Linked DNA regions of Anolis sagrei. The protein of the gene in region 1 interacts with the protein of each later gene in a pairwise test. Links are inferred from orthologs where the notes say so. Each region holds a gene or a part of one and is shown in the gene's direction. Other genes may lie near its edges. The genes, in order: USP13 and TRIM55.

Evidence for each region.
Region 2: the proteins of USP13 (region 1) and TRIM55 interact in a two-hybrid assay, tested with the Homo sapiens proteins (2 studies listed by BioGRID and IntAct). The link is inferred for Anolis sagrei from reciprocal best matches to the Homo sapiens genes USP13 and TRIM55.

Annotation. Positions count from the first base shown.
Region 1 is NC_090023.1:257,652,192-257,667,671, forward strand, and holds the start of USP13 (ubiquitin carboxyl-terminal hydrolase 13), read left to right. Parts: upstream 1-8,143; 5' UTR 8,144-8,302; coding exon 8,303-8,467; intron 8,468-15,480. Other genes in the region: NDUFB5 (NADH dehydrogenase [ubiquinone] 1 beta subcomplex subunit 5, mitochondrial), read left to right, coding at 1,171-1,291. UniProt on the Homo sapiens protein: Deubiquitinase that mediates deubiquitination of target proteins such as BECN1, MITF, SKP2 and USP10 and is involved in various processes such as autophagy, endoplasmic reticulum-associated degradation (ERAD), cell cycle progression or DNA damage response.
Region 2 is NC_090024.1:45,670,287-45,686,049, reverse strand, and holds the start of TRIM55 (tripartite motif-containing protein 55), read left to right. Parts: upstream 1-9,761; 5' UTR 9,762-9,907; coding exon 9,908-10,075; intron 10,076-11,310; coding exon of another isoform or gene 11,311-11,315; coding exon 11,316-11,488; intron 11,489-15,763. UniProt on the Homo sapiens protein: E3 ubiquitin ligase that plays an important role in regulating cardiac development and contractility, muscle growth, metabolism, and fiber-type differentiation.

The DNA of each region.
Region 1 (15,480 bases):
AGTGAATTTCCCTTCTGAGAGGTAGATTTCTTTCGCTTCCTGTTGTCTCACCCTTGTTCTTAAATACAAGTTGTATGTAACTCGTAGTCTTCCTGTATATACTAGCCTTTTCCCGTGTGCTTCATTGTGTGAGATCATGTGGAAAACTTAGACATTGTCAACTAGCTTTTGTTAGATAAGCTTACGTTAAATAGCATATGAGCTGTAATGTCTGCCTGTCAGATCTATCTCAACTGTTCCCCTGTTTATATTTGATACCCCCCCCCCCCAGTGGCACAGTGGGTTAAACCACTGAGCTGCTGAGCTTGCTGACCAAAAGGTTGGTGGTTTGAATCCAGGGAGCGGGGTAAGCTCCTGCTGTTAGCCCCAGCTCCTGCCAACCTAGCAGTTCAAAAACATGCAAATGTGAGTAGATCAATAGGTACCTCCTCAGCAGGAAGGTAACGGTGCTCCATTTTTTTTGTGGTGTCAGGAATGACTTGAGAAACTGCAAGTCGCTTCTGGTGTGAGAGAATTGGCTGTCTGCAAGGACGTTGCCCAGGGGACACCCGGATGTTTTTGATGTTTTCTCATCCTTGTGGGAGGCTTCTCTCATGTCCCCTCAGGAGGAGCTGGAGCTGACAGAGGGAGCACATCCGTGCTCTCCCCGGATTCGAACCTGTGATCTGTCAGTCTTCAGTCCTGCCGGCACAAGGGTTTAACCCACTGCGCCACCGGAGGCTCCACACGGCGCTCCATGCAGTCATGCCATCCACATGACCTTGGAGGCGTCTATAGACAACGCCGGCTCTACAACTTAGAAATGGAGATGAGCACCACCTCCCCAGAGTCGGACATGACTATACTTAACGTCAAGGGGAAACCTTTACCTTTACTTTACCTTATATTTGATAGGACTTTGGTTTGAGTAATAGACAACATAATCCAATTTGGTTTTGGCAACTATATTAGTCTGTTGTTTAAAGGATGGCTAATTACTTGAGTGCTTGACCAATTGTTCTTATACTATTTTTAATTGTCTGGCTTGTATATCACGTTTTAATGAAGATTTTTATTTTTAGCCTGTTTTGGGTGGAAGGCCCACATGCAAATTAAGGGCTACCTAAATTTGCAACTAATATGTAGTCTTCCTTTCCATTTTCTCATTTTCACTTTCTTGTTCTTTAACAGGAAGAAACAAAAGGAAGCCCGCCGCCTCATGCGAGAAAGAGGCGATGGACCATGGTTTCACTATGAAACCACTGGCACAAGCCTGATTGACTATTCTCCTAAATCAACGCCCGATAACTAAGATTGTTCATCTCTTGATCCAAGTGTGAATCCGCAGACAGCGTCTGAATTAATGTAATATAGATATATATAATTTCAATAAATATTTCTGATTCAGAAACCTGCTGTAATGTTTCAAATACAACGCAGTCTTGACCATGCATATTCAAAACGTATGATGTATGAAATGGGTGGCTGAGATACTGATGCATTTACTTTGTGATAGTTGCTGCAAGTACATAACTTTGTTTCATGCACAGCACGTTTAAAACAGTAGCTTAAAGTACCATCATCTTCTGCAGAAAAAACATCAACAAATTTCATGTTAAGACTTTTACTCCATCTCCAAATGGCGTGAAAACAATTTAGAGTGATTAATGGCCAAAACTAACAAAATGAAGTTCAACAGCGACAAATGTAAGATACTCCACTTAGGCAGAAAAAAAGGAAATGTAAAGATACAGAATGGGGGAGGATGCCTGGTTCGACAACAGGACGTATGAAAAAGATCTTGGAGTCTTTGTGGAGAGGAAGATGAACATGAGCCAACAATGTCATGTGGTGGCAAAAAAAAAAAAAACAAAACAAAGGGAGTTTGGCCTGCATAAATAGGAGTCTAGTATCTAGATTTAGGGAAGTCATGCTACCCCTCTATTCTGCCTTGGTCAGACCACACCTGGAATCACACTGTCCAATTCTGGGCACCACAATTGAAGGGAGATGTTGACAAGGTAGAATGTGTCCAGAGAAGGGCAACTAAAATGATCAAGGATCTGGAGAACAAGCCCTATGAGGAGCAGCTTAATGAGCTGGGCATGTTTAGCCTTCAGAAGAGAAGGCTGAGAGGAGACATGATGAGGGCCATGTATCAATATGTCAGGGGAAGTTATAGGGAGGAGGGAGCAAGCTTGTTTTCTGCTGCCCTGGAGACTAAGATGCAGAACAATGGCTTCAAACTACAGGAAAGGAGATTCCACTAGAACATTTGGAAGAACTTCCTGACTATGAGAGCTGTTCAGCAGTGGAACTCTCTGCCCCAGACTGAGGTGGTGGCTCCTTCTTTGGAGGCTTTTAGGCAGAGGTTGGATGACCGCCTGTCGGGGGTGCTTAATGTGATTTTCTTACTTCTTGGCAGGGGGTTGGACTGGATGGCCCATGAGGTCTCCATCCAACTCTATGATTTTATGATTCCACTATATCTGTTTATGTATATAAACAGATATGTTTATGTATATAAAGGTCTTGCTTTAGCACAGCAGGTTAATTACCAGCTGCAGTAAATCTTGCAAACTGAAAGGTTGACAGTTCGAAGCTAGGTCAGGGTGAGCTCTCAACCTTTAGCTCAGCTCCCCCGCCCACCCAATGGATCAAAAACATCAACGTGAGTAGATGAATAGGAACCGCATTAAATGGGGAGGTATTTTAGGCACTGTTTTGAAGGAAAGTTTATGAACAAAGAAAGCTCGTCGGCAAGGAGATGGAGCAACAGCACTCCTCTGTGGCCGGAACCGAGCACAGCCTCCAAAAGACGCTGAATGATGAGAAAAAGCCTAAAAATATATACCTCTATCTATTGTCTGTCTTGTCATTATATAATCAGCATTGAATGTTTGCAGTACATGTCTTCTGTGATCCACTCTGAGTCCCCTTGGGGGGGGGGGATCTGTGCCCGTATCTTGGGAGGTCTGACTTGGCCACGGTGGTCCACGCTCTTGTTACATCCCAAATAAACTACTGCAATGCGCTCTATGTGGGGTTGCCTCTGAAGACTGCTTGGAAGCTTCAGCTAGTACAATGCACGGCAGCCAGTTACTTACGGGAGCGGAGTACAGGGAGCGCACAACGCCCTTGTTACACCAGCTCCACTGGCTGCCTATTAGCTTCCGAGCACAATTCAAAGTGCTGGTTTTGACCTATAAAGACCTAAATGGCTCTGGCCCACTTTACCTGTCCAAAGGGGTCTCACCCTATGAACCATCAAGGACTTTAAGATCATCTGGGGAGGCCCTGCTCTCAGTCCTGCCACCATCGCAGTCATGTTTGGTGGGGATGAAAGACAGGGCCTTCTCCGTGGTGGCCCCTCAGCTGTGTAACTCTCCCTAAAGAGGTTAGATCTGCCCCCTCCCTCCTGACTTTTCGCAAGACATTTAAGATGTGGCTGTGGGAGCAAGCATTCGCAGAATAGATGGTTTTAATTGGCTTAGATGAGATTGTATGGACCACATTTTTTGGACTGGTTTGGAGCACGCTTTAAACTTGGCAAACCGTTTTTAAATGTATATTTATTACCATTTTATGTAATTGTGTATTTTATTGGTGTTTTTATATTGTTGGAAGCCACCCTGAGTCCCTATTCGGAGGTCGTGAATAGGACGGGATACAAATGTTCTAAATAAACAAACAAACACATACATAAATACTGTAAATAAATAAATATGCAAACTGAAATACAGATTATTTCTGGTCCAGGTAATTCAAATAAGGGATACTCAACCTACACCTGTTTTCCCCCCAAAAGTGGATGTGGAAATTATTCAAACCATTAGAGGGCAGCATTTATTCAACCTCAAAGGCCACCTATTCTTATTTAGCGATGAATAGAACTTCAGTTCAGAATGTATCAAGCTGTACAATCTAAATATGGAAGAAATAAAAAGCAATATTTGGCACATCCTCTAGAAATGGAAGAGTATTTTGTTTCAGTTCATTGTTCTGATCAGAATTTATGAGCATCTGGATGTTAGAAAAAGCAGAACTGACTTGGTACTGAGTGTCCTTTGACACTACATCCATTGCACTGCAATTCCATTTTCACGGATGCATTCTATGGAATTTTAAATTACAAATCTCAGACCTCTCCTGGAACAACTTTGTGTCCAGTTCTGGGCACCGCAATTTCAGAAGGAACAAGCCGGAACGTGTCCAGAGAAAGGCAACCAAAGTGGCAAAAGTTCTGGAAGACAAGTCCTGTGAGGAGCAGTTTAGGGAACTGGGAATGTTTAGTTTGGAGAAAAGGTTGAGAAGGGACAAGAGATCCATGTTACAATATTTGAAGGGGAAAAACTTATTTTCTGCTGCTCTTGAGACAAAGGGCCTTTCCAGACAGGCCCTGTATCCCAGGATCTGATCCCAGGATTTCTGTTTATCCCAGATTATCTGGCAGTGTGGACTCATATAATCCAGTTTAAAGCAGAAAACCTGGGATCAGATCCTGGGATATAGGGCTTGTCTGGAAGGGCCCTAGGACACAAAGCAATGGATTCAAACATCAGCAGAAGAGATGCCACCTAAACATTAGGAAGTTTGCAGATGACACCAAATTGGGAGGGATAGCCAATACTCCAGAGGACAGGAGCAGGATTCAAAACGATCTTGACAGATTAGAGAGATGGGCCAAAACTAACAAAATGAAGTTCAACAGGGACAAATGTAAGATACTCCACTTTGGCAGGAAAAACGAGATGCAAAGATACAGAATGGGGGACAACAAGTTAAACATGAGCCAACAATGTGATGTGGCGGCATCTCTCAGGGGTGATTTGAATGCAATATTCCTGCTTCTTGGCAGGGGGTTGGACTGGATGGCCCATGAGGTCTCTTCCAACTCTTCGATTCTATGATTCTATGAACTGGAGGGCTTGCTAGGGAGATGTCTACTCAAGTTTTTTAAAAACCCAAATATTCATGTTTTGTTGGTTTTTTACTTTCCTGGGGGCCCTGTTCCCCAATCTCAGCAAATATGGTGGGATCACTGTACATTTAGAAACTACAACTTCCAGCATTTCCCATTCTGAAAATGCCAGCTGAAGTCTCATGGTTCTCAAGCAGGGAGAAAAAAGCCCAGCACAAGAAGGAAGGCTGGTTCATGTAAGGTTCAGATACCAAACAGGTACCTGAGCCATCCTTCTGGCATTAACAGTAACTCCTATTCAACGTGACAGCTGCCATTTCTGATATTTTTCTCTCATTGTCCCTATTGTCTGCTTTATCACATTTTCTTCTTAGCAAAATGTCTCTTTGAGGCCTACTCTTCCCTCCTGGCATCTCACTTTCTGCTGCAAGTGAACGGCCCATAAAGGAAGGAGATGACATTGATGATGCCCATAAGTACCACATGGCCTTGCCCTTGTGCCATAGGGTTGGCTTTCCAGCATGAGATTCAGAATTTTCTAATTCAAAAGAAAAATGAAAAGGTGGACAGAACTACAATATTTCTTTTCAGTATCATATCTCAAATACCTCTCCTGCTGTGCTTTGTCGTTCTGTGAGCAAGCGTGCTTATTTATTTTGGGAGGAGTGTGATGGAGTTGTTTTAGCATTGAATGAAATCCATTGGGTGATCATGGGGAGGTCACATTCTCTCAGCCTCAAGAGGAAAAGGTAAAGCTTTCCCCTGACATTAAGTCTAGCTGTGTCCGACTCTGGGGGGTGGTGCTCATCTCCATTTCTAAGCTGGCATTGTCCGTAGACACCTCCAAGGTCATGTGGCCAACATGATTGCATGGAGCTCCATTACCTTCCAGCAGAAGTGGTACCTATTGATCTAATCACATTTATAAGTTTTCGAACTGCTTGGTTGGCAGAAACTGGGGCTAACATTGGGGTGGGGGGTGTCTTCTCCGACTGCCATTCCCAGAACCCTCCAAACTGAATCCCCTGTTGTGGGATGGGCAATCTGACAAGGCATGGTTAGCTTGTAGACTCCGATAAGCCAACAATGTGATGCAGCAGCAAAAAAGCCAATGATGATTTTGGCCTGCATCAATAGGAGTATAGTGTCTAGATGCAGGGAAGTCATGCTACCCATGCTCTATTCTGCCTTGGTCACACCACACCTGGAATCACACTGTGTCCAATTCTGGGCACCACAATTGAAGAGAGATATTGACAAGCTGGAATGTGTCCAGAGGAGGGTGACTAAAATAAAAGGGTCTGGAGAACAAGCCCTATGAGGAGCGGCTTCAAGAGCTGGGCATGTTTAACCTGCAGAAGGCTGAGAGGAGACATGATGAAGGCCATAGTTCAATATGTGAGGGGAAGTCATAGGTAGGAGGGAGCAAGCTTGTTTTCTGCTGCCCTGGAGACTAGGATATGGAACAATGGCTTCAAACTACAAGAGAGGAGATTCCACCTGAACATGAGGAAGAACTTCCTTACTGTAAGAGCTGTTCAGCAGTGGAACTCTCTGCCCTGGAGTGTGGTAGAGGCTCCTTCTTTGGAGGCTTTTAAACAGAGGCTGGATGGCCATCTGTTGGTGGTGCTTTGAATGCAATTTTCCTGCATTTTGGCAGTGGGTTGGACCAGATGGCCCATGAGGTCTCTTCCAACTCTAGGATTCTATGCTCCATATGTATATCCCTGTCTGTAAGTTCTTGTTTTGTGAGGAATTGTGAGAAATAAATAATCTTTACAGGATAGATGAGATTGTGGAACTCTCCTGGTCACAGTGAATGCTTTTGACGCAGACTATTTATTTATTTATTTACTTCATTTATATACCGCTTTTCTCAGCCCTCAGGTGACTACTGAGACCGACATTGATTTTACTTCTTTCTATAGGAATCAACGAGTGCATAATGTGAGTTTGAATCCCTGGGCCCATGAGATTGCATAGCAAAAATAAAGGGCCAGCATGCAAATAGCATCGATTTTGAATTTGCAGGGGTATCTGATGTGATCCGAGTTTGATGGCAAGCAGGGGCGGTTCAACCCATTACGCAAAGCAAGCATTCGCAGTATAGTTGATTTTGCCCAGGGGTGATCTTGAGGCGCTCTTGGGGGGAAATAGACCTTGACATATGCGAGTTGTAGTTACTGGGATGTATAGTCAGAAGCAGCCGTAGGTAATTTTCAATGGTAAGCAAACAGTATTTTGGTGCCCCCCCCCCCCAAACCAATCATTGATATATATTTTCTGCTCGTCATGGGATTTGGTTGTGCCATATTTGGTTCAATTCCATCATTGGAATTCCACCAGAATGCTCTTCAATTTGATTTTAGATTTTAGGTGAACTATACATCCCAGTAACTACAACTGCTCTTTGATTTTAGGTGAACTATACATCCCAGTAACTACAACTTGCATATGTCAAGGTCTATTTTCCCCCAAGAGTGCCTCAAGAGCGCCCCTGGGCAAAATCGACTATACTGCAAATGCTTACTTTGCGTAATGGGTTGAGCCGCCCCTGTGTAGAGTTCACCTACAATCAAAGAGCATTCTGAACTCCACCAATGATGGAACTGAACCAAATATGGCACACAGAACTCCCACGATGAACAGAAAATATATATATCAATGATTGGTTGGAGGATGGGGCGCCAAAATACTGTTCGCTTACCATTGAAAATTGCCTAGGGCCGCCTCTGATGGCAAGTTAAAAGAAAATGAAAGAAGACCCCCCCCCCCCCCCCGCCAAATTCTTTACTCCAGATACAGAGTCTTGATCTGGACTGCCCACAATGAGAATAAAGGGAGGGATCTGTAGTCAATGGATGGTGCTTTGAAGTCAAGACTGAACACAGTTTGATCTCAATACAGAACCTTACCTCTGGATGTGTGTGAACCAGTAACATTGGGAAACAAGCTTCAGGGATAAATACAATTGACCTCATTGGACCTTCAAACGAATAAATGTTAGTAGGAATATGAATATCAAGCAGGCATGGGCAAACTTAGGCCCTCCAGGTGTTTTGGACTTCAATTCTCACAATTCCTATCAGTCCATAGGCTCATGAGGTCTCTTCCAACTCTGGTTGCCCAGGAACGCACCCTTCCCCAGGAATGAGCCTGGGAGTGACTGGCGAGGCTTCCTCTGAGCATGTGCAGAGTGCCTCTCCCTTCCTCCTCCCTCGGGGGCCAGGAGGCAGGCTCCGAGGGCGTGGCTGGAGGAGCCTTGGCGCTTCTCTCTGGGCAGCTGCGGCTCCCTCCGTCTTCCGCCGGGTTAAAGATAGCCTCCCTCCCTCCTCCTCCTCCTCCTGCTTCTCGTCCGGCCAGGAGGGCTTTCTCTCTCTCTCTCTCTGTCTCTGTGGGGCGATGGAGCGGGCGGCACTGTTGGGGTCCGGGCGGGAGGCAGCGGTGGGCCCGGAGATCGCGGGGGACGTGGGCGAGCTCCTGGTGCCCTACATGCCCACCGTCCGGGTGCCCAAGACCGGGGACCGCGTCTACAAGGCCGAGTGCGCCTTCTCCTACGACTCGCCGGTGAGTCCCTTCCTCCCTTCCTTGCCTCCTTTGGGCTGTGGGTCCCTTGCCTTTTTCCAGAGACCCCCTCCCTCCCTTGACACTTGCTTCCAGGCCTTGGCGGGGCCACCCATTCCCCTTTCCAGGGGGTCGCATGGTACTTTCTCCTAGGACTGTCTCTCCTAATTGGCTTTTGAGAAGTGTTTGGGGTCTGGGAAAGATTTCTGCAGAGAGATCCCTTGCACATGGGTCTCACCACATTTAGCTTTTCTTTCCTTGGCTTTGCATGTTCTCTTTAGTGCTTTTGCTGTGAGTTTTCCGGGCTGTCTGGCCATGTTCCAGAAGCATTCTCTCCCCACGTTTCGCCCACACCAATGGCAAGCATCCTCAGAGGTTGTGAGGTCTGTTGGAAACTAGGCAAGTGGGGTTTATCTCTTGAGTGCTCTTGCTGTGAGTTCTTCGGGCTGTCTGGCCATGATCCAGAAGCATTCTCTCCCCACGTTTCGCCCACTCCAATGGCAAGCATCCTCAGAGGTTGTGAGGTCTGTTGGAAACTAGGCAAGTGGGGTTTATTTCTTTAGTGCTTTTGCTGTGAGTTTTCTGGGCTGTCTGGTCATGTTCCAGAAGCATTCTCTCCCCACGTTTTGCCCACAGCAATGGCAAGCATCCTCAGAGGTTGTGAGGTCTGTTGGAAACTAGGCAAGTGGGGTTTATCTCTTTAGTGCTTTTGCTGTGAGTTTTCTGGGCTGTCTGGCCATGTTCCAGAAGCATTCTCTCCCCACGTTTCGCCCACACCAATGGCAAGCATCCTCAGAGGTTGTGAGGTCTGTTGGAAACTAGGCAAGTGGGGTTTATCTCTTGAGTGCTTTTGCTGTGAGTTTTCTGGGCTGTGTGGCCATGTTCTAGAAGCATTCTCTCCCCACGTTTCGCCCACGCCAATGGCAAGCATCCTCAGAGGTTGTGAGTTCTGTTGGAAACTAGGCAAGTGGGGTTTATCTCTTTAGTGCTTTTGCTGTGAGTTTTCTGGGCTGTCTGGCCATGTTCCAGAAGCATTCTCTCCCCACGTTTCACCCACACCAATGGCAAGCATCCTCAGAGGTTGTGAGGTCTGTTGGAAACTAGGCAAGTGGGGTTTATCTCTTTAGTGCTTTTGCTGTGAGTTTTCCGGGCTGTCTGGCCATGTTCCAGAAGCATTCTCTCCCCACGTTTCGCCCACACGAATGGCAAGCATCCTCAGAGGTTGTGAGGTCTGTTGGAAACTAGGCAAGTGGGGTTTATCTCTTTAGTGCTTTTGCTGTGAGTTTTCTGGGCTGTGTGGCCATGTTCTAGAAGCATTCTCTTCCCACGTTTTGCCCACAGCAATGGCAAGCATCCTCAGAGGTTGTGAGGTCTGTTGGAAACTAGGCAAGTGGGGTTTATCTCTTTAGTGCTTTTGCTGTGAGTTTTCTGGGCTGTCTGGCCATGTTCCAGAAGCATTCTCTCCCCACGTTTCGCCCACACCAATGGCAAGCATCCTCAGAGGTTGTGAGGTCTGTTGGAAACTAGGCAAGTGGGGTTTATCTCTTTAGTGCTTTTGCTGTGAGTTTTCTGGGCTGTGTGGCCATGTTCTAGAAGCATTCTCTTCCCACGTTTTGCCCACAGCAATGGCAAGCATCCTCAGAGGTTGTGAGGTCTGTTGGAAACTAGGCAAGTGGGGTTTATCTCTTTAGTGCTTTTGCTGTGAGTTTTCTGGGCTGTCTGGCCATGTTCCAGAAGCATTCTCTCCCCACGTTTCGCCCACACCAATGGCAAGCATCCTCAGAGGTTGTGAGGTCTGTTGGAAACTAGGCAAGTGGGGTTTATCTCTTTAGTGCTTTTGCTGTGCGTTTTCTGGGCTGTCTGGCCATGTTCTAGAAGCATTCTCTCCCCACGTTTCGCCCACAGCAATGGCAAGCATCCTCAGAGGTTGTGAGGTCTGTTGGAAACTAGGCAAGTGGGGTTTATCTCTTTAGTGCTTTTGCTGTGAGTTTTCTGGGCTGTCTGGCCATGTTCCAGAAGCATTCTCTCCCCACGTTTCGCCCACAGCAATGGCAAGCATCCTCAGAGGTTGTGAGGTCTGTTGGAAACTAGGCAAGTGGGGTTTATCTCTTTAGTGCTTTTGCTGTGAGTTTTCTGGGCTGTCTGGCCATGTTCCAGAAGCATTCTCTCCCCACGTTTCGCCCACACCAATGGCAAGCATCCTCAGAGGTTGTGAGGTCTGTTGGAAACTAGGCAAGTGGGGTTTATCTCTTTAGTGCTTTTGCTGTGCGTTTTCTGGGCTGTCTGGCCATGTTCTAGAAGCATTCTCTCCCCACGTTTCGCCCACACGAATGGCAAGCATCCTCAGAGGTTGTGAGGTCTGTTGGAAACTAGGCAAGTGGGGTTTATCTCTTTAGTGCTTTTGCTGTGAGTTTTCTGGGCTGTGTGGCCATGTTCTAGAAGCATTCTCTTCCCACGTTTTGCCCACAGCAATGGCAAGCATCCTCAGAGGTTGTGAGGTCTGTTGGAAACTAGGCAAGTGGGGTTTATCTCTTTAGTGCTTTTGCTGTGAGTTTTCTGGGCTGTCTGGCCATGTTCCAGAAGCATTCTCTCCCCACGTTTCGCCCACACGAATGGCAAGCATCCTCAGAGGTTGTGAGGTCTGTTGGAAACTAGGCAAGTGGGGTTTATCTCTTTAGTGCTTTTGCTGTGAGTTTTCTGGGCTGTGTGGCCATGTTCTAGAAGCATTCTCTTCCCACGTTTTGCCCACAGCAATGGCAAGCATCCTCAGAGGTTGTGAGGTCTGTTGGAAACTAGGCAAGTGGGGTTTATCTCTTTAGTGCTTTTGCTGTGAGGTTTCTGGGCTGTCTGGCCATGTTCCAGAAGCATTCTCTCCCCACGTTTCGCCCACACCAATGGCAAGCATCCTCAGAGGTTGTGAGGTCTGTTGGAAACTAGGCAAGTGGGGTTTATCTCTTTAGTGCTTTTGCTGTGCGTTTTCTGGGCTGTCTGGCCATGTTCTAGAAGCATTCTCTCCCCACGTTTCGCCCACAGCAATGGCAAGCATCCTCAGAGGTTGTGAGGTCTGTTGGAAACTAGGCAAGTGGGGTTTATCTCTTTAGTGCTTTTGCTGTGAGTTTTCTGGGCTGTCTGGCCATGTTCCAGAAGCATTCTCTCCCCACGTTTCGCCCACAGCAATGGCAAGCATCCTCAGAGGTTGTGAGGTCTGTTGGAAACTAGGCAAGTGGGGTTTATCTCTTTAGTGCTTTTGCTGTGAGTTTTCTGGGCTGTCTGGCCATGTTCCAGAAGCATTCTCTCCCCACGTTTCGCCCACACCAATGGCAAGCATCCTCAGAGGTTGTGAGGTCTGTTGGAAACTAGGCAAGTGGGGTTTATCTCTTTAGTGCTTTTGCTGTGCGTTTTCTGGGCTGTCTGGCCATGTTCTAGAAGCATTCTCTCCCCACGTTTCGCCCACAGCAATGGCAAGCATCCTCAGAGGTTGTGAGGTCTGTTGGAAACTAGGCAAGTGGGGTTTATCTCTTTAGTGCTTTTGCTGTGAGTTTTCTGGGCTGTCTGGCCATGTTCCAGAAGCATTCTCTCCCCACGTTTTGCCCACAGCAATGGCAAGCATCCTCAGAGGTTGTGAGGTCTGTTGGAAACTAGGCAAGTGGGGTTTATCTCTTTAGTGCTTTTGCTGTGAGTTTTCCGGGCTGTCTGACCATGTTCCAGAAGCATTCTCTCCCCACGTTTCGCCCACACCAGTGGCAAGCATCCTCAGAGGTTGTGAGGTCTGTTGGAAACTAGGCAAGTGGGGTTTATCTCTTGGGTGCTTTTGCTGTGAGTTCTCTGGGCTGTGTGGCCATGTTCCAGAAGCATTCTCTCTCCACGTTTCGCCCACACCAATGGCAAGCATCCTCAGAGGTTGTGAGGTCTGTTGGAAACTAGGCAAGTGGGGTTTATCTCTTTAGTGCTTTTGCTGTGAGTTTTCTGGGCTGTGTGGCCATGTTCTAGAAGCATTCTCTTCCCACGTTTTGCCCACAGCAATGGCAAGCATCCTCAGAGGTTGTGAGGTCTGTTGGAAACTAGGCAAGTGGGGTTTATCTCTTTAGTGCTTTTGCTGTGAGTTTTCTGGGCTGTCTGGCCATGTTCCAGAAGCATTCTCTCCCCACGTTTCGCCCACACCAATGGCAAGCATCCTCAGAGGTTGTGAGGTCTGTTGGAAACTAGGCAAGTGGGGTTTATCTCTTTAGTGCTTTTGCTGTGCGTTTTCTGGGCTGTCTGGCCATGTTCTAGAAGCATTCTCTCCCCACGTTTCGCCCACAGCAATGGCAAGCATCCTCAGAGGTTGTGAGGTCTGTTGGAAACTAGGCAAGTGGGGTTTATCTCTTTAGTGCTTTTGCTGTGAGTTTTCTGGGCTGTCTGGCCATGTTCCAGAAGCATTCTCTCCCCACGTTTTGCCCACAGCAATGGCAAGCATCCTCAGAGGTTGTGAGGTCTGTTGGAAACTAGGCAAGTGGGGTTTATCTCTTTAGTGCTTTTGCTGTGAGTTTTCCGGGCTGTCTGACCATGTTCCAGAAGCATTCTCTCCCCACGTTTCGCCCACACCAGTGGCAAGCATCCTCAGAGGTTGTGAGGTCTGTTGGAAACTAGGCAAGTGGGGTTTATCTCTTGAGTGCTTTTGCTGTGAGTTCTCTGGGCTGTGTGGCCATGTTCCAGAAGCATTCTCTCCCCACGTTTCGCCCACACCAATGGCAAGCATCCTCAGAGGTTGTGAGGTCTGTTGGAAACTAGGCAAGCGGGGTTTATATATATCTGTGGAATAATGTCCAGGGTGAGAGAAAGAACTCATGTCTGCGTGAGGCAGGTGTGAATGTTACAATTTATTGTCGAAGGCTTTCATGGCTGGAATCACTAGGTTCTTGTGGGTTTTTTCGGGCGATATGGCCATGTTCTAGAGGCATTTTCTCCTGACGTTTCGCCTGCATCTATGGCAAGCATCCTCAGAGGTAGTGAGGTCTTCTTATTACTTTCTTTTTCTTTTTCTTTTTCTCATTACTTTCTTTTTCTTTTCTTTTCTTGAAAAGAAAGTAATGAGAAGACCTCACTACCTCTGAGGATGCTTGCCATAGATGCAGGCAAAACACCAGGAGAAAATGCCTCTAGAACATGGTCATATAGCCCGAAAAACCCCACAAGAACCTCATGTTACAATTGGCCACCTTGACTAGCATTGAATGGCCTTGCAGCTTCAAAGTCGGGCTGGTTGCAGCCTGGGGAAATCCTTTATTGGGAGGTGTTAGCTGGCCCTTCGTAGAATATCAAGCCTGCAAACTTTGTGTTTCGTTTGTTTGTTTGTTTGCTTTAATGCAATACAACTGTTTTGGTTTGCTCCTAACACGATAAATAATAAATAAATAAGCTGGCCCTGATTGATCTAGTGTCTAGATTTAGGGAAGTCATGCTCTCCCTCTATTCTGCTTTGGTTAGACCACACCTGGAATATTGTATCCAATTCTGGGCACCACAATTCAAGAGAGATATTGACAAGCTGGAATGTGTCCAGAGGAGGGCGACTAAAATGATCAAGGGTCTGCAGAACAAGCCCTATGAGGAGCGGCTTAAGGATCTGGGCATGTTTAGCCTGAAGAAGAGAAGGCTGAGAGGAGATATGATAGCCATGTATAAATATGTGAGAGGAAGCCACAGGGAAGAGGGAGCAAGCTTGTTTTCTGCTTCCTTGGAGACTAGGACACGGAACAATGGCTTCAAACTACAAGAGAGGAGATTCCATCTGAACATGAGGAAGAACTTCCTGACTGTGAGAGCCGTTCAGCAGTGGAACTCTCTGCCCCGGAGTGTGGTGGAGGCTCCTTCTTTGGAAGCTTTTAAACAGAGGCTGGATGGCCATCTGTCGGTGGTGATTTGAATGCAATATTCCTGCTTCTTGGCAGGGGGTTGGACTGGATGGCCCGTGAGGTCTCTTTCAACTCTTTGATTCTATGATTTTATGATTCTTGTCTGGAATTCCCCTGTTTTTTTTTTTTAGTGTTGCTCTTTATTTCCTGTTCTGATTTTGGAATTTTTAAAATACTCGTAGCTAGATTTTGTTCATGGCCAGAATAATTGGGTTGTTGTGAGTTTTCCGGGCTGTCTGGCCATGTTCCAGAAGCATTCTCTCCCAACATTTCGCCCACACCAATGGCAGGCATCCTCAGAGATTGTGAGGTCTTTTGGAAACTTGGCAAGTGGGGTTTATATATCTTTGGAATGCCCAGGGTGGAAGAAAAATACTTGTCTGCTAGAGGAAAGCATGAATGTCACAATTGGCCTCTTAAATAACATTGTAGCTTCAAAGCCTGGCGGATTGCTGCCTGGGGATGTTAGCTGACCTTGATTGATTCTTGTCTGGAATTCCCTTGTTTTTTAAGTCTTGCTCTTTATTTACTGTCCTAATATTAGAGTTTTTAAATACTGGTAGCCAGATTTTGTTCATTTTCATGGTTTCCTCTTTTCTTTGGAAATTGCCCACGTGCTTGTGGATTTCAATGGCTTCTCTGTGTCATCTGACATGTTCAACAACACATAATTAAGGCAGATTCGGAAATTAAAAACTATTGAGTTCCAGGATAAAAAGCTTTCTAAACCATATCCGGTTGTGTTGTCAAAGGCTTTCATGGCCAGAATCATTGGGTTGCTGTGAATTTTCTGGACTGTCTGGCTATGTTCCAGCAGCATTCTCTCCTGACACTTCATCCACATCTATGGTAGGCATCTTCAGAGGTTGTGAAGTCTGTTGGAAACTAGGCAAGTGGGGTTTATATATCTTTGGAATGCCTAGGGTGGGAGAAAGAACTCTTGTCTGCTAGAGGCAAGCATGACTGTCACAATTGGCCCCTTAATTACCATAATTACCATAATTAATTACCATAATTAATTAACATAATTAACAAGTGGCCTTGAAGCTCCAAAGACTGGCTGATTGCTGCCTGGGGGATGTTAGCTGGCCCCGATTGATTATTGCCTTTTTTAGTCTTGCT
Region 2 (15,763 bases), on another chromosome or scaffold:
TAGCCCGAAAAAATCTACAAGAACCTAATTAAAGCAATATTAAACAACAAGCAATAAACAATACACCAAGACACAATAAAACCGGGCCGGGCCAGAGTAAGTGACAATTCGTCAAAAATCTAAACTAAGCTAGCAATCTAAATTCCAAGCTGTACTTCCCCATTATTTCATAGTCGAGACACTTGGCTTCTGAACTTTGTGTCATCATAGATATCAAAACAGAGCATCAGAGATCTTTCAATCATAGGGGAGCAATGAATCGAGCCGACTTGACAGCAACAAATGAAAAATAATACTGTATATGAATAGCTTTAGCCGACGTGGAGGACAGATCTTGCAGTAATTAATTAGGACAAAAAACTGTCTCCTTCGAGCCGGAATCGAACCAGCGACCTAAGGATTCCTGGTCTGCGTTTGTCCTACAGTCCTCCGCTCTACCAGCTGAGCTATCGAAGGGACTTGCCGAGCGGCTTCCTTCAGCAACAGAAACAAGATCTGTTGCCATTGCTCGGAAGGTGAAATTCACTACTAAACCAGGAGGTGGCGCTGGAGATCACATTGCATGCAAGAGTTGTTGCTTCTGCTCTCAGTCTTTCCAATGCGGCTCCTTTGAACTGGAGGAGTGAAACTTTGAAATGGGAAGGGCGCTGATAACGGAAAGAGACCCTCTTCCTGCCTTAGTCCCGCTCAGTGTATGGAGGAAACAAACATGGAGAGGTGTGACAAAGTGGGTGGAAGTCGCCCATAAGGAAGCAAAGGGGAGAAGCTGTGCATGGCAAGGCTTCTCTTATATATTTGGAGGTGGTCCTCAGCCCTGCTCTCGTGTGCGGGGCCAGTGGCGCAATGGATAACGCGTCTGACTACGGATCAGAAGATTGTAGGTTCGACTCCTGCCTGGCTCGCAGCAAGACTTGGTTTTATAAAATCCTCAGATTACTACTGCATAAAGGCTTTTATCAAATTTCGTTGACCCCGGGAGGGTTTGTCAGGACATACACAATTTTTTTCTGTAGGGTTTCTCAGGATATATATATTTATATAAATAAAAATGTAATGTTTAGAATCATAGAATCATAGTGGTGGATGAGACCTCATGGGCCATCCAGTCCAACCCCCTGCCAAGAAGCAGGAATATTGCATTCAAATCACCCCTGACAGATGGCCATCCAGCCTCTGTTTAAAAGCTTCCAAAGAAGGAGCCCCCACCACACTCCAGGGCAGAGAGTTCCACTGCTGAACGGCTCTCACAGTCAAGAAGTTCTTCCTAATGTTCAGATGGAATCTCCTCTCTTGTAGTTTGAAGCCATTGTTCCGCGTCCTAGTCTCCAAGGAAGCAGAAAACAAGCTTGCTCCCTCCTCTCTGTGGCTTCCTCTCACATATTTATACATGGCTATCATATCCCCTCTCAGCCATCTCTTCTTCAGGCTAAACATGCCCAGCTCCTTAAGCTGCTCCTCATAGGGCTTGTTCTCCAGACCCTTTATCATTTTAGTCGCTCTCCTCTGGACACATTCCAGCTTGTCAATATCTCTCTTGAATTGTGGTGCCCAGAAGTGGACACAATATTCCAGATGTGGTCTAACCAAAACAGAATAGAGGGGTAGCATTACTTCCCTAGATCTAGACACTATGCTCCTATTGATGCAGGCCAAAATCCCTTTGGCTTTTTTTGCCGCCACATCACATTGTTGGCTCATGTTTAACTTGTTGTCCACAAGGACTCCAAGATCTTTTTCACACGTACTGCTCTCGAGCCAGGCATCCCCCATTCTGTATCTTTGCATTTCATTTTTTCTGCCAAAGTGGAGTATCTTGCATTTGTCCCTGTTGAACTTCATTTTGTTAGTTTTGGCCCATCTCTCTAATCTGTCAAGATCGTTTTGAATCCTGCTCCTGTCCTCTGGAGTATTGGCTATCCCTCCCAATTTGGTGTCATCTGCAAACTTGATGATCATGCCTTCTAGCCCTTCATCTAAGTCATTAATAAAGATGTTGAACAGGCCCGGGCCCAGGACAGAACCCTGCGGCACTCCGCTCGTCACTTCTTTCCAGGATGAAGAGGAAGCATTGGTGAGCACCCTCTGGGTTCGTGCATTTAACCAATTACAGATCCACCTCACCGTAGTTTTGCCTAGCCCACATTGGACTAGTTTCCTTGCCAGAAGGTCATGGGGGACCTTGTCGAAGGCCTTACTGAAATCCAGGTACGCCACATCCACGGCATTCCCCGCATCTACCCAGCTTGTAGCTCTATTGAAAAAAGAGATCAGATTAGTCTGGCATGACTTGTTTTTGATAAATCCATGTTGACTATTAGCAATGACCGCATTTGTTTCTAAGTGTTTGCAGACCACTTCCTTAACAGTCTTTTCCAGAATCTTGCCTGGTATCAACATGAGGCTGACCGGACGGTAATTATTTGGGTCATCCTTTTTTCCCTTCTTGAAGATTGGGACCACATTGGCCCTCCTCCAATCTGCTGGAACTTCTCCTGTTCTCCAAGAACACTCAAAGATGGTTGCCAATGGTTCCGAAATGACTTCTGTCAATGGTTCCGAAATTACTTCCGCAATAGGTACCACTCCGGCGGGAAGCTAATGGCGCTCCATGCAGTCATGCCAGCTACATGACCTTGGAGGTGTCTACGGACAATGCCGGCTCTTCAGCTTAGAAATGGAGATGAGCACCAACCTCCTACTCTTTTCAACGCTTTCTGCACTAATCAGTAAGTAAACATACTGGAGGAATTTGAGGGATTGGCTCCACGTGATGGAAGTTGTAGTTCACCCTGCATCAAGTCAGAGCACTGTGACCCCCACTGACAATGGAGCTGGACCACATTTAGCACATAGAACCCCCATCACCAAAGAAAAATACTGGAGAAGTTTGAGGGAAAATTCACCTTGCTTTATAACTGTTGTAGGTACTGGGATTTATAGTTCACTTGCAATCAAAGAGCATTTGGGGCCTCACGAACGATGGCCCTAGATCTAACTTGGCAAACAGAGCCACCATGACCAACTAAAAATACTAGGGGTTGGGGAAAACTGGCCTTCATTTCTGGAAGTTGTACTTCACTTACATCCAGAGACACTGTGACCATCACCGATGATGGATCTGGACCAAACTTGGCATTACAGAATGCCTATGACTAACTGAACCTATTGGAGGGATTTGAGGGGACTAGCTCACCATAGTGGAAGCTGTAGTTTATCCTGCAGCCAGAGATCACACTAAACCCCACCAATGATGCATCTAAAGCAGTGGTTTTCAATCTGTGGGTCCCCAGATGTTTTGACCTTCAGCTCCCAGAAATCCCAACAGCTGGTAAACTGGCTGGGATTTCTGGGAGTTTTAGGCACACAAAAAAAGAACACCTGGGGACCCACAGGTTGAGAAGCACTGATCTAGAGCAAACTTGCTCAACATGACAAACTTTAACTACTAATGGAGTTTCAGGGGGCTAACCTGGCATGGTGTGAGTTGTAGTTCACCCACAACCTTATGCATTTTGGGAAATTTAAAAAAAAACATGACTTTTTCAAATAACCCAAGCTAAACTAACAAAGTGAAATTCAACAGTGACAAATGCAAGATACTCCACTTAGGCAGAAAAAAATGAAATTCAAAGATACAGGATGGGGGACACGTGGTTCGAGAGCAGTACATGTGGAAAAGATCTTGGGGTCCTCGTGGACAACAAGTTAAACATGAGCCAACAATGTGATGTGGCGGCAAAAAAAGCCAATGGGATTTTGGCCTGCATCAATAGGAGCATAGTGTCTAGATCCAGGGAAGTCATGCTACTCCTCTATTCCGCTTTGGTTAGACCACACCTGGAATACTGTGTCCAATTTTGGGCACCACAATTCAAGAGAGATATTGACAAGCTGGAATGTGTCCAGAGGAGGGCGACTAAAATAATAAAGGGTCTGGAGAACAAGCCCTATGACAAGCGGCTTAAGGAGCTGGGCATGTTTAGCCTGAAGAAGAGAAGGCTGAGAGGAGACATGATGTATAAATATGTGAGAAAGTCATAGGGAGGAGGGAGCAAGCTTGTTTTCTGCTGCCCTGGAGACTAGGATGCGGAGCAATGGCTTCAAACTATAAGAAAGGAGATTCCATCTGAACATTAGGAAGAACTTCCCGACTGTGAGAGCCCATTCAGAAGTGGAACTCTCTGCCTCGAAGTGTGGTGGAGGCTCCTTCTTTGGAAGTTTTAAAACAGAGGCTGGATGACCATCTGTCAGGGGTGCTTTGAATGCAATATTCCTGCTTCTAGGCAGGGGGTTGGACTGGATGGCCCATGAGGTCTCTTCCAACTCTTTGATTCTATGATTCTATCTGTCAAGGGTGGTTTGAATGCAATTTTCCTGCTTCTAGGCTGGGGTTGGACTGGATGGCCCACGAGGTCTCTTCCAACTCTTTGATTCTAATGATACTTGAAAAAATCTTCAGCTCTCTTCCACATGCAAAGGAACAAGAAGAATCAGTGAATGTACTGGAATGTTTGGATTTCAAAGTGTTAGTAAAAGAAACGAGCCAGGCAGGAGTCGAACCTACAATCTTCTGATCCGTAGTCAGACGCGTTATCCATTGCGCCACTGGCCCCTCGCTTGCCTTAACCCTTTGCCAAAAAAAATTGGAAGAGGAATACACACAGTGCAGCCAGCCCCTGTGTCCATGGGTTTGGCAACCATGAGAGTCAGCAAACCCCAAGCTTGAAAATACTCCAAGAAAACCCAATATATATATTTAAAATTCCAAAACCCAAACTATGATTTTGTCACCGTGTATATAAGGATGAAAACAAACCTGGCAAGAGAGGCAGATACCCAAACTATCACCTTTGTTCAGGCACCTATATAGCATGGGGCAATAGAGGCAGTGCCTGTCTCTTCCGGAGGCTTAGATCTCTCAAGGGGAGCAGCTCCGCCGTGTGCCTTCGATAGCTCAGCTGGTAGAGCGGAGGACTGTAGAGGAGAACTTCCCTTGTAGGAATCCTTAGGTCGCTGGTTCGATTCCGGCTCGAAGGAGATTTTTTTTTCAAACTTGCACTTTCAGTTTCTGATTGAAAATAGCTTCCCTCTTGTGCTTTGTAAATTACTGTGACTTTAGTAGTTTAACTCTGTGATTCAATATAAAAAGTTACTCAAGAGATCCATGTTTGGAGGTTGCAGTTCCTTCCCTACAATAAAGAATAGACTATTTATTTATAGAGTCAGAAGCAAATTGAGGGTACAGTTATAATGTAGAATCATACAGTTGGAAGAGACATCATGGGCCATCCAGTCCAACCCCCTGCCAAGAAGCAAGAAAATCAAATTCAAAGCACTCCCAACAGATGGCCATCCAGCTTCTATTTAAAAGATTCCAAAGAAGAAGCCTTCACCACACTCCTTGGCAGAGAGTTCCACTGCTGAAGGGCTCTCACAGTCAGAAAGTTCTTCCTCATGTTCAGGTGGAATCTCCTCTCTTGTAGTTTGAAGCCATTGTTCCGCGTTCTAGTGTCCAATGCAGCAGAAAACAAGTTTGCTCCCTCTTCTCTATGACTTCCTCTCACGTATTTATACATGGCTAGCATGTCTCCTCTTGAGGAAGGGACAAGCTTGTTTTCTGCTGCTCTGGACACTAGGACAAACCAGAGCAATGGAATCAAACAGCACCTGAACATTTGGAAGAACTTCCACTATGCAGTAGTGCATGGGCAAACTTGGGCCCTGCAGGTGGTTTGGAGTCTAACTCCCACCATTCATCACAGCTTATGACTTCCTCTCACATATTTATACATGGCTATCATGTCTCCTCTCATCCTTTTCTTCTTCAGGCTAAACATACCCAACTCTTTAAGCCACTCCTCATAGGGCTTGTTCTCCAGACCCTTGATCATGGTGTGGGGCATAGACATCCTGTGATAATGTGGTATGTCTTATTAAGAGCCATATCTACTGTTTTAGCATGGTGAGATGTGTTCTACGCTGGGTATGTGTACTCAGCAGCGGAGTAGCAAAGCACAAGGGCAGATGTCTTCACTGTGTTTGGTTGTGATTCCCCAGATTGTGCTATTCAGCTTTCATACAATATTGTTTCTAGCACTCACTTTTTGCTTGATAGTCAAGCAGTGCTTCTTGTAGGCCAGAGTTGATGAGGATGTGTCCATATTCTACAGCCAGGCATGAGCAAACTTCTGCCCTCCAGGTGTATGGGACTTCAACTTCCACAATTCATAAGAGCGGCTGTATCCCTTACCCAAAATGGTTGCGACCAGAAGTGTTTTGGATTTTGGATTTTTCCTGATTTGGAATACTTGTATTTGCATATATTGTATGTACACATAGTATTCAAAGACAAAGCAATGTAGTCTGGATCAGTGTGCAAAAGAGATCTTGAAGTAGCTTTAAGACTAGTTATAAAGCCTGTGCTCTTTGGTTGGGCCCAGACTTTGTTTTAAGTATAGATTACCCATAGACTTTGTTGTAAGTATAGATTGCCCCTTGAAGGTTACTCCTTCCTTGTGTTTAGAGCTGAAATTTAAACTTTCCTTGTATCTTGATAGCCAGATAATAACAAATTCTATTAGTATAATGAACAGGCCTTTTCACCATGCTGTCTCTAAGCAGAGAGAGGTATATTCTTACTCTCTCTCTCTCTCTCTCTCTCTAGCTAGCTAGCTATCCTAGCTATTTTATTAGCAAATAAAATGGACCCAATGTGCAAGTGGTATGTACAGGATGAATGCGAATACAACCGCCTGCTACAGTAAGTAAAGTAGATGTTGCACTTAAACTCATAGACATGATACATACTGCTTGTACAGTTGTCTGATAAAGTATTGGCAAGTAACAGCACAGATGGCTTGCTTTAAGATTAGGCCTCACATGCCAGACGTGATCTGGGAAATTGTCATTTTAAAAATAACTTTGCAACAAGTGCCAAGTTATGAGGGATCCATGCATCCAATAAACAGAAACAAAGCAGTGTCCCAGTGCTGGAACTTAATCATTGGGATTATACTATGGGCGTATAACCCAGGCAGAATTATCACCTCTGCTCAGCCAATAAAAATGGTGCATCTTCGCTATTTTTCCAAAGTACTTGAACTTAGAAAACACTGAAAGGTTTTTTTTTCTTTTTAAGTGTATTGGAACTGTTCCTTTAAAAAACTACAGAGAAAGCTTATTTATGAAGAATATTATTGAAGAGCTAAGTATGATTTCTCTATGGCAACACTATCTACAGGTGTGACAGCATGACAGGAAGAAGATCAAGAGAAGAAAGAAGCAAACATTTGCCAATTGGCTTTTTGAGGCAGAAGAGGAGGATGGGGCCTCTGGCTTACCATTATCTAGCAATAGACACCGCTGGTCAGCCATGTGTGAGTACAAAGCCAACTGAGCCACATCCTTTTATGCTATTTTACCACACTGCGCACTGGTGAGAGCATAGGGGGCTTCCTGCCTCAGTGCTATTCTACAAAGGGAGCATCTTTCCATCTGCCACACCATCTGCCACTACTAAGACTGGTTCACACAACTAATTGTGGAACTTGTTTCCACATCTTACTTCTTTCTACAAAAGAGATAGAGACTTTTTGAAGCCTTATATACCATTTGAGAAAAGTAGGTTCTGGACATTAGAAATATGCAATTAATTGGTTAATAAGAGGCAAAGTCCAACCCTGGAAGCACACAGAATCATATAGAAACCACAAAGTATTCCAATTAAAGGATTCCTGAGAGAGAGCCATTCAAACTATGTTTAGAAACCACAGAAAAGGAGAGTTCACCATCCTTCAAGCCAATCTATTCTACCATTGAACAGTACACAAGTTCATCCTAATATTGAGGTGGAATCTCTAATCTTCTCTTGTAATTGAACTCCATAGTTCATATCTGAGGCTCTAGAAAAGCAACAAGAAAGTTCATTCCATCTTTTGCATGGCATCCTTCCATATATTTGAAGATGGTTATCATATTACCTCTTAAGTTTCTCTGCTCCAGGCTCAACATACCTAGATCTCAAAATTATTTCTCATTGCACTTGATTTGCAGACCTTTTACCATATTGGCAGTTTTCCTCTGGACATATTCCAGCTTGTCCTTATTGAACTGTTATTCAGAACTGGAAAAAGTATTTCTCCACTATTTCCCTTGATCTGATCGCTACATTCCTTTTGATGCAGCCTACAGTCCATTGTTTGTTTGCTTGTTTTAGTCACTGCATTATACTATTGAATAATGTTTGTTATAATCTGCTAAAATTGTTTGATCATTTTCACAAGTGTTGTTTTTTTCTCCCATTAATCTTACACATTTTTCCTTCCTAGATATAGTACCCTTCTGAGATTCACTTTATTAGCTTTGCTCCAGATCTCCAATCTGTCAAGGTCATATTGAATAACCCCTGGCACCACATCTATGGCCCTTTTCCTCTTCAGACATCCTGGATTAAAAAACATGAAAGGGGGGGGGGGGAGATTATTCTTCTAGAAGCCTTCAGAAGTTCATATATTAAATAGTTGAAGGCCTTTCTTACACATCTCAACAGGGTTTTTTTGCAGGGGGAGGGGGTGGGGATCCCCCAAAGCCATAATCAAATGTCTGGTTACTTCTGCGTGTTTTTGGTTTGTTCTTTGGCAATCCATCATTATTTGAGTGGGTTCCAGGACCAGAAAATTGCCTTTTGGACCCACTTTAGTTTTAGAAAGTAGTAGTACTACAGTAGAGTCTCACTTATCCAACATTAATGGGCTGGCAGAATGTTGGATAAGCAAAAATATTGGGTAATAAGGAGGGATTAAAGAAAAGCCTATTAAACATCAAATTATGTTATGATTTTACAAATTAAGCACCAAAACATCAACAGAAAAAGCAGTTCAATACATGGTAACATTATGTAGTAATTACTGTATTTACAAATTTAGCACCAAAACATTGCAATGTTTTGAAACAGCTGTGGAGACAGACTGCTTTGAATAATACAGCACATAGGATGAGCGAAGGTTGAATAAGCAAGACTCTATCGTATATCTATTCGAGTATAAGCCAACCTCCTGCATAATTTTTCAGGGCAAGAATTGTGGATTTTGATACCCCCCATGTAGATAAGTTGAGAATAATTCCATGGAGAAAAGAAAACACTAGGACTGACTTAAAGGGCCTTTGACTGCCACTACCATTTTCCCCGTGCAGGCAATCAAAAAGTCCAGAAGCAGCACCATAGTGTAGAGGGTAGAAGAGGTCAGTGCTTCTTTAAGGTTTTCCTGGGATGGACCAAGCTCTTAACTTTTACCATTCTATTCAGAGAAGTAGGTGGTAGTTTTTTGAAAAATTAATATACAGTACTTACATTGACCCATGGATAAGATGACACCATTTTTGGAGCTGACTTTTTGACTAAAATTTCTAGACATATATATGAGTATTTAGGGTATGCTTATTGAATTGCTCCTTGCTTTTTCTTACCACAATGAGATGTAAAGATATTAACAACCAGGCTGTATTCTATGGTCAACATGATATTTCAACTTTTCCAAAAGAGTGAGTGGTGCATGTGTCAGCGGCAACTGTTGAATTTCTCCACCTCCTCCCCTATGCTCCCCCCCCCCATTCCTCTTGGACACAAGAATGTTGCTCTTTCACCCCAGTGAGCTGTCACCTGTCTAAATCTGTCCTTGTGACAGATGCATATATGGAGAGAGTGAGTATGGCAGCCAATGACGCTCTGCTTCTAAAATAGGCCCAGCTCCCTGCTTTCCCTTCCACCCATTAAAACAATGTCATCCAGGGAAAGAGTCTCAAAGGACATTTGATCTCACAAGCATTGGAATTTTTTCAGGGGACCTAACCCGGAAACCCATTGGCCGCATTCTGATTCTGAGCCTATGTTCCTCAGACTCTCTAGGAGATGAGCACCTCTCTTAATTACAAGTCTTTCTCCAAAGAGCAAGAAACTATGGATAACTTAGAGAAACAGCTTATTTGTCCCATATGTTTAGAGATGTTTTCTAAGCCAGTGGTGATCCTCCCCTGTCAGCACAACCTATGTCGAAAATGTGCCAGCGATATCTTCCAGGTAAGTTGACCTTTTGGAATTATTTAACCTTTCAGATTATAAAATCAGATGTGGTGGTTTAATAAAAAGGGTTTTCTCTAGATGAGAAAAAAAATGAATTAGAAAAAAGACACTTGTTTGTTATTTGCTGTATGATTCTGGATCCTTTGCATGTGGAAATGCTCCCCACCCTATTGATCTAGAATGAATTATAATTATTTAATGTACGTAGAGATATTAAAATATAAACTCATTCCTGTCCTTCCCCAATACTTCTAAGAATGGAAAGTTTATCTCTACAAGAAGTTGTTACTTTGTATTGTCGAAGGCTTTCATGGCCAGAATCACTGGGATGTTGTGAGTTTTCCAGGCTGTATGGCCATGTTCCAGAAGCATTCTCTCCTGACGTTTTGCCTGCATCTATGGCAAGCATCCGCAGAGGTTGTGAGGTCCATACTACCTGGAAAACTCACAACAACCCAGTTGTTACCTTATGAACTTGGAATCCTTAAACAAAAGGGACTTGCTGGTGCGAACCTTCCATAAACAAAATGGAAACAATGTACCCTTTGTACTTACTGGATAGCATTTTGGACTATGCCTTGGTGGTTAAGGTAAGTTTATCTTTGATTATCTTATTCCAGGACTTTCCAAACTGCAATATGTAGATGTTTTGCATGAATGTAACAATATATATCGAAGACATATAAATAAAAGGTTTCCATGGGATGACATGTCACCATGCATTTCACTATTACAATTGATGTATGTTTTAATCTCTTATAAGGGATTGGTTTAACTTCTGGTTCATTTATTTATTTATTTATTTATTTATTTATTTATTTATTTACTGTGCTCCTCTCAGCCCTCAAGCGACTTGAGGCGGTTTACATGACAAAACTCAGTGCCACAAAGCATAAGTACAATTTAAAAAACATTAATATACATAAAATCATAACCGCAGCAATAAAACATGTCATTAATAAATCCTTACTAAAAACTTTGTCCAGTAAAACTGAATTACTGTGTCGCGAAATGATTCATGTCTAAAAAGTGTGTCACCAAAATGAAATGTTTTGACAGCTCTGCCTTATCCAACAGTGATTAAAGTGCAATGAGTAACACAAAGGCATGTGATCATTTCTTAAGCAGATAGTCTGACATGCATCTTACAATATGGAAGTGAAAGCAGTTGCAGGAAATATCTGTGAATGAATGCATGCTTGACTCCACAATCTTTTTTACTCCTTGGCAAGAACAGGCCTCAAACCCGTATCTGCCAATGAGAGGAGGCACCACTGTGGCTTCAGGAGGTCGATTCCGCTGTCCGTCATGCAGGCACGAAGTTGTTCTAGACAGACATGGCGTCTATGGCCTTCAGAGGAATCTGCTGGTGGAAAACATAATTGATATATACAAGCAGGAATCTGCCAGGTAATAGATCAATTTCTGTCCTTGAAGGAATGTCTGTGGATGCAGTTCCTACATTGGTTGCATTTCCCATGGAAACAAATTACGATAGTTTAAGGCCTCAAAAAGAGAATTATAGGGTATTCAAATAACGTGAATTGTAGAACTGAACTACTGCTGAACTGCCTCTTTTTGTTGTCGAAGGTTTTCATGTCCAGAGTCACATGGCCATACAGCCCAGAAACTCATAGCAACCCAGTGCCTCTTTCCCCATCCCAACTTTCCTCTCCCTCTTCTTCCTCCTCCCTCCCCTTTTTCCTCTGTCGCATGAAAGTGTATAACTACAGCTAGATCAGTGGTTCTCAACCTTCCTAATGCTGTGACCCCTTAATACAGTTTCTCATTTTATGGTGACCCCCAACCATAAAATTAATTTCGTTGCTACTTCATAACTGTAATTTTGCTATTGTTATGAATCGTAATGTAAATATCTGATATGCAGGATGTATTTTCATTCACTGGAAGAAATTTGGCACAAATAGCTGATACATCCAGATTTGAATACTGACAAAAATGACTGATTTTGTCATTTGGGAGTTGTAGTTGCTGGGATGTATAGTTCACCAGAAATCAAAGAGCAATCAAAAAGCATTCTGAACTCCAACAACAAGGGAATTGAACCAAACTTGGCACCAGAACTCCCATGACCAACAGAAAATACTGGAAAGGTTTGGTGCGCATTGACTTTGGGTTGTGGAGTTATAGGTCATCTACATCCATAGAGCACTGCGGACACAAACAATTATGCATTTTCTAATGGGAGCATTAATAAAAAACAAAAGACTGATTTTTTCCCTATTAAATAGCGTTACAAATTACCGAAGCTGTTTCTGCTGCTCCTCTGATGCTGCTGGGCCATTCTCAGTCCCACGTCACACAGGTGCTTCCCACCTGCCTTGAAGGGACTTGCTGGTGCGAGCCTTCCTCCACCCTTGCATGCTCTCTCTTGCCCATGCATCTGCACTACGCTGCCATGTACCAAGCATGTCTGCTCTCCCCACCCTGCTTGGAGTCTCAGGAACAGCACTTCCCTTAGCTGAGAGACCGGCCACTACAGCCATTTGTTTCCAAAAAGGAAGAGAAAAACAGGCAGTGAGATCTTCAACCTTCCCAGCCAAAGGGGTTCCTAAGACCATTAGAAATTTGCGTTTTCCAATGGTCTTTGGTGACCCTTCTGACACCTCCTCTCCCAGGTTGAGAAACACTAACCTAGATATAAAAGGAAAAGGCTATAGTTATCATCATCAACAGGCTTCATTATGTACAAGTAGATAGGGACCACACAGAACGCCGCATGCATAATTCTTGATTGTTGAACTTCTGATATTAGTTACGCTTTGTTTTACAAGAAGTAAAACTGGTTGGCTTTACCTTTTTTTAATGAGAAGTTTTATCATCCATTTGTAGCTGTTGCACAAGGTTCTATATTTATTACAGATATTTACTATAGAATGTCAGCTTTGTGTGCTTTGTGGAATTAATTGTCATCAAACAATATTCAGCTTTACCTCAGTATTTAATCTTCACATCTGATGAATATTTTGGGTTTGTTTTTATTTGTAACTCATCTATCTCTGGAAGTTCAAATACAACAAGATTCAAAGATACAAATAAAAATTCAAAAAAGTATAAAAATGCAATCAAACACATTGCAATATTAAAAAGTAATAGGATTTAAAGCAATTAAAAGAACCGCAATAAAAATACGGTCCCCTTCCATTAAAAGCCTGCTTCTAGGCAATCAGTCATTTGCTAAAAGCCTGCCCAAATGACTTTGCCTACTGGCTGAAGGACACCAAGGAGGGTGTACCTCTGTTTCCCTTGGGAAGACGACTGGAAGCAGCCATACATCTATGTAGTTGAGTACACAAATAATCCTTGTTCATAGCCAGAAGTGGGAAAATGTAACCCCCAAGATGCATTTGGCTGCCAGGCTATTTTTGTGTGACCCAGGCCCCTTGAGATAAAAACTACTTCTTCTAGGAATAATGGGAGGCACTTTTGACATGTTATCTCCCCTCCAACCCCCGGACCATTTTAGACCTAGGAGAGGCTCTTCTTTCCTAGCCTTGCTGGCCTTTCTCTTCAATAACTTTTGCTATCTTGACCAATCTTGGATGTTGCTTGGCCATGTGTCACGGTATTGATCTGTGAAAAGTTGGAAGTTATTAGTTCTGGATTTCAGGCACAGATTAGTCCTTCTGCTTGGTGTTTAGGTAGGCTGAACTTTGTGGGACAAGGCCCAGAGCCCCAAAACTTAGCACCAAACCTGAATGATAAATCAGAGAGCAAGCAGGAGGTGATGGGAACATGAGCAAAGAATCTTGGCATCCAAATCTGGGCTGTATTGGGTACACTCAGCCTATCAGTGCTGATACTGATTACTGCAGCATTTTAGTTGTTTCTGTTGTTTTTATATTTTTTTTTAATTGGGAACAAACATCCATACATATACATGGCTGCCATAGGTCATTTCATTATTGGATTACTTTTTACATATTTTTCTCTATTCTACAATAAAATGGTACTTCTTTCTAAGTAAATGTGCTTAGCATCATGGCAGCAGAAACGTCTCCAGTGTATTGTTGCAGTTGTAATGGTTCTGCGATTTAAATTAGTTTGAAATATAAAATTTTATACATTTCCTCACAATTTCAGGGTTGCAATGATATATCAGGAATGATGAGGTAGTTGAACACAAAGGGAAGTTTTCTCAGTAGCTGTTCCTAGGCTGTGGAACTCCGTGCCACTGGAAACACGAATGGCCCCTTCCTTATTCCTCTTAAGAGATACATACTTTTTCACTTAAACAAATATTTGTTTATTATTTATTTACAGTATTTATATTCTGCCCTTCTCACCCCACAGGGGACTCAGGGCGGATTACAATGTACATATACATGGCAAACATTCAATGCTATAGACACACAACATATATAGATAGATACACAGAGGCTATTTAACTTTCCAGCTTTCATGAGGGTATTCTGGTCACCAGGGGTGAAGATACATTTTACATACCTCCATATTGCTACAAAATAAGGAAGAAATCCATGTGAGCTGAGCTTCACCCTGACATGGAAATATCTGAAGCTACTATAACAGTTTTCGTGATTTGTTAAAAATCAAATGGAATGTGACTGTATTTTCCCTTGAGGGAATAAAAGGCCTTGCAATTGAAAGGAGAACAAAAATAGTTAGACAGTCCTTCCTAGATTTAGTAAAGGTTCTGAGATAGGGAAAGGGAGGAGGATTTGTCGAAGGATTATTTTAACCTTCATTTGTGTCCCTTAAGCTAAACTAATTATCAGGAGAATTGGCACTTGAACTGCACAACCTTATCTATGCCATTTGACACCTTCTAGGTTCCAGCTGCTCACTTCCTTCTTCCTGTCTTATCTCTCTCTCCCCCCCCCCCCCATAATTGCTGTTAATATGCAGTCTCTGAGGATGGGGCTGTCTCCATGGGCTTCTTAGATGATGAATTCATAGATGCCTCTCTCTGTGAAGCTTTAGAATAACATCTGCAGTAGCATAAAGAAGGGAAATGAGGCAGTTGGGGAAACAAAAGGCGGCAGCTGGGATGAAGAGAGCAGGACTGGCCCCAAGACAAAGAGTGTCCTAGAAAAGGCACGTTTTCATTGCTCCCGCCATCACCACGCTCAAGTTGTACCTTTCATTAAACCATATTTGTATGCTTGCACAAAGATGTCAACTATTTACATTCAATTAAATTATCAACTGAGCTGGAAGTTTTCTAAGGGAAAGGATCACCTTAGTTTATTTTTCAACTAAAGGGTTGAAATGTTGGAATTTCAGCACTAACTTTAGAATTAAGAAATGAATTGAGTTATTAAACAATGAAATGAATGTGAATGATTGGCCAAATGCTATGGTAGATTAATTCATGCCAAGGTTAAAGGATTTTTTAAAAAAACAAAACATCTCTAAAGAGAATGTTCTCTCCTTTTGGTGGTCTTCTTATGTTCTATATTAGAGATCATATAGGGGCTCTTCTTCTGTTCAGGATGCTGAATTATAATATTTGTATCAATTAAATGAATGAACACAAAATATTGGAACATTGTACTTATAACCGTTGACATCCAAGAACCTTCACTGGGGCGCTTGTTAGGCCCCTTCTACGCTGCCATATAAAATCCAGATCATCTGCTTTGAACTGGATTATATGGTACTGTAGATTTATATAATCTAGTTTAAAGCAGATAATGTGGATTA